Danio rerio: one gene and its partner. The protein of the gene in region 1 purifies or fractionates together with the protein of each later gene. This does not show direct contact. Links are inferred from orthologs where the notes say so. Each region holds a gene or a part of one and is shown on either strand. Other genes may lie near its edges.

The links. The genes of interacting proteins can lie anywhere in the genome.
Region 2: the proteins of rad18 (region 1) and slf1 purify together in Homo sapiens (affinity purification with mass spectrometry; 4 studies listed by BioGRID and IntAct, with this or other methods). This does not show direct contact. The link is inferred for Danio rerio from reciprocal best matches to the Homo sapiens genes RAD18 and SLF1.

The regions. Positions count from the first base shown.
Region 1 is NC_133181.1:44,383,638-44,387,296, reverse strand, and holds part of rad18 (E3 ubiquitin-protein ligase RAD18), read right to left. Parts: intron 3,321-3,659; coding exon 3,250-3,320; intron 2,515-3,249; coding exon 2,454-2,514; intron 1-2,453. UniProt on the Homo sapiens protein: E3 ubiquitin-protein ligase involved in postreplication repair of UV-damaged DNA. Postreplication repair functions in gap-filling of a daughter strand on replication of damaged DNA.
Region 2 is NC_133180.1:54,463,940-54,467,598, reverse strand, and holds part of slf1 (SMC5-SMC6 complex localization factor protein 1), read right to left. Parts: intron 2,214-3,659; coding exon 2,069-2,213; intron 1,844-2,068; coding exon 1,696-1,843; intron 1,556-1,695; coding exon 1,410-1,555; intron 1-1,409. UniProt on the Homo sapiens protein: Plays a role in the DNA damage response (DDR) pathway by regulating postreplication repair of UV-damaged DNA and genomic stability maintenance.

The DNA.
Region 1 (3,659 bases):
TATGCATAATGAAATCGTCTGGAGACAAACTTCAAATGAAGTACGCGGCTACATTCACGGCATAGATAAATCTGTATTCGGTTTGGAAATCTCTGCAGCACAGTTCTGCATGGAGTCCAGACCGCACCTGAGCAAGATCTGATATATGAGGTGGAAACGGAAATTGCTAGTACCCTTCCAGAGCACACCGATGATACATGGGCATTACATTAAAGCAGCAAATCAAAATAGGAACGCTTGATGATTGCGATAGCAGATGTGCCATAATCGGACAGACAAGTTCTGCATAGAAACGCACTGTGTTTTTCTATTTTGGATAGCACTTTAATCAGCTATTTGTTTTATTTTAATTACAACAATTAATATTTAACAGCAGCTTACATCAATTTAAAGTTTATTAATTTTTTAACTTTTAAAAGTAGTGCATTACAATATCAAGTTACTCCCCTAAAAAAGTAACTAATTACGATACTTAGTTACTTTTTATGAAAAGTAGTGTGTTATATAACTTGAGTTAATTTAGCGTTGCTTTTCCGTACCTATCTGAGGTTTGATTTATTTTAGAACTAGCAGGTGTTTTTTCATGTTTTTGTATAGATAAGTTCTGCATTAAACAACAACCTGTATAACCTTCATTTTCCTTTAATAAATATAGGATATTATATTTTTAGATATCTTTCTGAGCCCAGAGCTATACATGCGGCACATACATAATAATAAAAGCATGTTAAATAATGTTTTTGCTACTTTTGTACATTTTGTGTTATTAGTTAAGCAAATTCCCTGTCCATTATGATAAAGATTGCAATAAAGCCTTCGAGTACTAACATAAAATAATTTATATTAAGGCAAAAACAGATTTTAAACTTTTAAAATGTTTAATAAAATGAACAGTGAGACGATAAAAAAAACATTCCCCTAAATAAATCTGAGCTTTAAACACTGAATAATTGCTTCACGTTGCCTTAACAAATGTGCAAATAGTTTCCCAAAAGAGAAAAAAAATCTTACTATATTATAAAACATAGTCACTTCTACAATATACAATGGCTGCATCTCCCAATAACCCTTTTTTTTAAGTTTAGTCGAATTAATTGTTTTACCTGGAGATTGTGAGCTGATGTCAATCATTTGTTGCTTAGCTGGAGATGAAGTGCGGGTGTACATCCAGTTGTTTGTTTGTTTGTTTTTTTATGTTGTGTTTCTTGCAATTGTCAAGAGTTTTACTTACACATAATCTACACTTAACACCAATCCACTTCCTTTTCTTCGATGAGTTCAAATTAACAAGAATCCATTGCTAAAATGTAAATCTCCGGCCTGCTATGATTTCTTTTTCTGACTGTCTGTAGCGATGACAAGTAATTCTTAAATTAATTGCTCGTTTTTAACTGGATCTTCTCAGCGAACCAGTTGAACCAGTTCATTAAATGGGATGGCGTTGTCATGAAATGGTTTGCGTCTTTAGTACTAACATACCCGATAACCCCTGACTCGAAATAAACTAATATCCTGAGTTATTCAGTTACTAGAACAGTACACTGACTCATGCTGTGAAAAAGAGACCTGATGATGAGTGCAAGTTAACTGTCTGTTCCCTCACGGCACGCTCTCTGTGTGATTCAACCTGACTAAGGTAGTTTTTATTCTACAATTTATTTTGTAAAAGCCAATTAAGCAAGGTAAAAAGTACCTTGAGTTCCTTTTTTTAAGTAACTCAAATAATTTTACTTATTCCTAAAAGTAATGTTACTTTACTCCATAGGTCTCAAACTCAATTCCTGGAGGGCCACAGCTCTGCAGTTTTGCTCCAACCCTAATCAAACAAAGATGCCCCATATATTAAAGGTGCTCCAACCAATCAAAGTGGTAAAGACTAGAGATTAGTAGTCTTGAACACCTTGATTAGTTGGACCAGCTGTGTTTTATTAGGGTGCAATCAAAATTGTGTAGAGCTGCGGCCCTCCAGAAATTGAGTTTGAGACCTATGCTTTATTCGTTACTTTGGAAAGTAATATTATTACGTAACGCACTTTACTTATAATGCGTTACCCCCAATACAAAGACTGAAAATTGAGAATTAAAATGTAATAAGAATTTAAAAGCAGGAATTTTCTTTAAAAGCCCATGTTTTCTAGATCAGTTAAAGAATAAATTACAATCTAACCACTGCTAAAGCAAGGGATTTCTTTCATCCTTACCTGACTGGTCATTGAGCAAATGCATTTTCTTAGTCAACCTTGAAGCAGTAGTAGTCAATAATTTTCAGTGCAGATTTCAATGGCATTTTTATTTTACAATACATGGGGATGAGCAGGAGAATGAATGTGACCCTGTTGTGACATCCCTCAAACATTATTTTCCAACAGCGCAAGGACAGCACATCCTCTAATTCAAGCAGAGCAGAAGTCTCATTGCTTTTTAAATGTGAGATTTGAGAAGTCAGGACTTACGATACATCGAGTGCACCTCCTCAATTTCTTCGGCTGTCTGGTTCTTTGTAGTGATGATTACCTGGGAAACACGTATAATAAGGGGGGAAAGAGATGTTATTATTATAATTATAAAAAATAACTAAAAATAAAAATCTAAAAAGCTGTTTCAAAGTCACAGCACTTATAAAAAGCTGAAATATCCCAAAAACAAAACAAAAAACAAAAAAAGAAATAAGTATCTGATGAATATCTTGTTGGTGGCTGACAAAAAGAGCATTACCAAAAAAAGTTGTCACAAGAAAGTTCTACCATAAATGCATGGATGGAAATTACAATGGAAATTTATAAAAATAGAGCAAATTACTATATTTGTTCATCAGAAAATGGAACATTTTTTTTCATTCTTGGACAAATGGACCAATTATGAAACATCCCATAGACCTGATCTCATAATTTATATTATTTCATTAAACTAAATCATGTTATAGTCTCATATAAATTAACAAAAATGTTTACACAAAAATGAAAATTATATATTTAATCACCCTTGTGTTGCTTCTTTCTTTTGCAGTCATTAAAAATATTTGGGACATGCAATAAATGCTGTAAATGTATCCAAATAGCACAGCCTATAATATCTAAAAAGCCATTTAGATTCAATAACAAAAATATTGTATACATAATACAATTATAACCTAAATGTGTGTAATCAGATGAAATGTTTGTGCAAGCAATTCTATTAAAATGGTTAACTGATTGACAGCCCTAATACAGTATTTATCATTTAGAAACGACAATCCATAGTAGTACATACAGGTTTCCGTTTACTGTCCAGCTGATTCTTTAGTCGCTCATTGGCTTCAACTTCTTTGGCGATTTCTTCAGCTGTTAAACAAAAAAACATTTAAAATAAAGATAAATACAACCAACATTTTTGAAGCAAACTTAATAACCAACAGGTGAAGGATTCCACATATACAGTATCTATTCTAGGTCACAAACTAAATGTGTTGCACAAATCATTACCGCCAGTGAACACAGAATGTGAACTCCAAAATAATTCTGAAAATCACGACAATCAGCTTTTACATCAACTGATTACATCCAATGCAGTGCAATTTACTAATTCACTCAATGGTACATGACAAAACAGTGGGGAAAAATACAATCCAAACATAAGTTCAGTCTTCAAACAGAAACCATAGCAACATCGGGTGATAGAAA
Region 2 (3,659 bases), on another chromosome or scaffold:
TCATTATTGGAGTTAAGGAAATATCAATACTGGAGTTAAGGTTGATTTAGGACAAAGCATGTGAGAGATTGAAACCAGGGATTCTTGCATACATAAAATATTGCAAATTATGACAAGTTTAGCTTGCTACACAACTGAAAACGTGCAAGGTATAATACAGTTTTTCCATTGGCAATTGTAGTATTATAAAGTAGTGTAAAGTTTTCTAACCGGTGAATGACATGATCCAGTGGATTGTTTACTGTCAGTTTTACTGTGCACGTTTGTGATTTCAGGAGGTGTGGCTTTGAACTGCAGGGGAAGGACTGCGTTTTCAAAGCTATTATGCTAATATTTTTTATCATTTTGGCAGATCACTTACCGTACAATTGACAGACACATGTACATGTGCAGCTAAATTAGTTTAATTTGAAAGCGAAACATTACTACTATGTTTTAAAGCTAGTGCTCTGTGTCTCTGAACTAAAATGAATTCCTATATAATTTGCAAATATCAATATTATTCAAACATTTTTGCTTTGAAGACTTTTTTTGTTGAAAGGTTATAAATAAACAAAGCATTGCAATGCTCTCTTTTTTGGAATAAGAACTGTTTGTTCTTTAAAAATGCTCTTTGTAATCAGTTACGTTCAGTGTACATCAGAGCTTGATCAGGATGAATATAACTTTGTTGATGAAAAAAATAAAACATTGGTTACAATCATAAGCAAAAGCATAGAAACTCCAATTCTGGTTCAAAATTAAAGTTCGAAAAACAGTATATTTGCACAGCCAAAACGTTTAGAAAACAAATGTAGGTCGCTTTGGAATTGAATCAAGACTCAGAATCGGATCAAATTGTGAAGTTCTTAAAGATTCCCAACCCCAATAGCTATATTCACAGCAAGAACAACATACAAGTCTTTCTTACAAATGGCATTAACATAGATTTAAGTGGAAAAAACTATTCTTCTGACAGAATTTTGTTTCAGGCCACATACCTTTAATTAACACTTGTTTAAAATAAAATAAAATAAAATAAAATAAAATAAAATAAAATAAAATAAAATAAAATAAAATAAAATAAATAAAATAAAATTCTGACCACGTCATGTGTAAGTTGGCACATAACCTTTTTTAATTAGACAATTTTTAATGAAGATAGTGCTATTTCAGTCATGTTGAAGTCGTGCAAAGTTAAATTATCAATTGATTAAAAATAAATGAATGAATGAATGAATGAATGAATAAATGAATGAATAAATAAATAAATAAATAAATAAATAAATAAATACACATTTAATTATTTGCCATAGCGAACAGCTCCATCAAAATGTGTGGCAAAATGTAATACTAGCTTGGACCCTATAAATAAACATGCGGACCCCATAAATCTTGATGTTGTAACACTGTATATGATAAAAACCTACAATTTTGAGCAGGCAGAGTGGTTCAGAGCTGAAGAACAGGCCCCTGCTGCAACAGATGTTTCTGTAAATTGCATCGGCAGTGAACATCCGGAGTCTTGCGGAGCGAAGGGCTGGAACCACCTCCTTCAACATGTCAAAGTCAAGGTCTAAAGAAAGACAAAAAGAAATGTATAAATTCCACGTTTCATTTCCAATAAATAATATCTATGTATTTTTGAAATTCTTATTTGTTACATTTAGTGCATAAAGTGATTCTTCGCCAGTTTCCATCTGCACTATGGGATACCTTGGCACAGTAGAGCGATGTGTTCAGCCAGGTCTTTAAAGCCTTTTTGCACCAGACTGCTGTTGAGTGGACTGTGTTCCTGAGCCCAGAACTCTACCACTACACACAGAGTCTCCTGCAGAGTGACCAACATTCCCAGCCTGCACTCCTGCACAAAAACACACTAAACTCAGCCTGCAATCTGGATTGGACAGGTATCAACAAAACAGTACATTTAAAGTGACAATCTGCTGCCATACTATGATCTAACAGGTATAAGACTAATTTAAGTTTGATCCAGGAAATTAATTAGTTAATACAAGTATGGATACATGATTAAGACTAATCACTTAGGTCATAAACACATACTGTATGCTTAAAAACAATCAAACACCTGATTGCAGTTGTAAGCCCACATTAAAGTCTTGATCAAAAGTCTGCTGAGCTGCCGAACTGCTCTGGAGTTTAGAGTTGACTTTTCCCACGTGCTCCAGAAAGTACTATAGAGAACAGATGCTCGACTGCTTCCAGGTGATCTTCTGCACACATCAAGACAAAGTTACTGCTATAGATATTAATATGTAAAAGCTGCGATACATTTGAAATTGCTACCATTTTAGGTTTAGTGTTACATAAAATTCTCTCTCTCTCACTGGCATGTCTGAGGTGGATGTTTTAATGGTTTGTTTTTGAAAAAGTGGAAAATGGGTGGCTGGATTTTTATCCACTGAAAGTAAAGATGCATCTTGAGAGTATTCTTGAATTTAAATGAATTTATACTATTGTGTATAAACCACCATTGTCTAAAAAAGTGGGAGAAAGTTGTTAAGCTTTTTTTCATGCTTTTACCCAATGTTTTAGATTAATATCATTCTTTGATTTTAAAAAAAGGTTTGTTTTTTACTTGTAATTAACTATTCTCTGAACAAGTCTTTATTTTAAACACAGTAAAAAAGAAATAATAGTTGTAAACTACTTAATTTTTATAATTGGTAAAGCAAAGGTGGCAATCTATTTAAACCGAATGTATAAAATTGAACAAAGACCTCAATAATTCTTATACATTGTTACGGTTGGTAAAGTCCGGACTTTTTTTTTTTTAAAGAATAAATGATTGGAAAATGTTTGAAAAGGTTTGGTGTGTTTTTGGAATCAATTTGGTGTTTTTGGAGATATTTTTCTTGCAAATACACCTTGTAAATGTATACATTTGTTTTGTAAAACTTGTAGAACTGTGGAAAACTGACTGTAAATATAAAAGTTTAATAGGAAAATGAATGTGCAATGAAGTAAAAAATCTCTCTGCATCTTTCTCGGCCTTTATATAAACTATAATTAAACATTTACTTTAGATCTTTGACGGGTGTTTCAATATTTATGTTTCTACCTTGCTATAACTAAAGTAAATTGTTTTTGAGGATTTCACTGAAACTGGCTTGATGCTAAATGACACAGGTCACTTCTTCACAAACTAAAACTCAATTGATATGTAAATAATATTTGTCACCCTCAAAAATAAATAAATAAATAAAAATTAAACATAAACTTTCTATCTATATTAAGTCTGGATAATAAGTTCTAATACAGGACTGTCTTGGGGGAAGAAACTAACTTCAAGTCACCCTCATTATAAACCCATAGTTAAAGCAGTGTCTTAGCAATTAGATGACATTACTTTAAAAAAAAGTATAAATAATAATTTTGTTATCGAATAGTATTGATATAAAAATGATCATCAGAAAATAATCTTCAAAATATACACAAATAACTTTAGATTAAATTATTTTTACATGTTAGAAGAATACTACTAGCCAGTGTTACTTTTGAAAGTAGTGCCTTACAATATTGAGTTACTCCTGCAAAAAGTAACTAGTTCCGTTACTTAGTTATTTTTTATGGAAAGTAATTCATTATGTTACTTTTGAGTTACTTTTTCAAACCTGCCTGAGGCTTGATCACTTTTAGAACTTGCAGGGTGTTTTTTC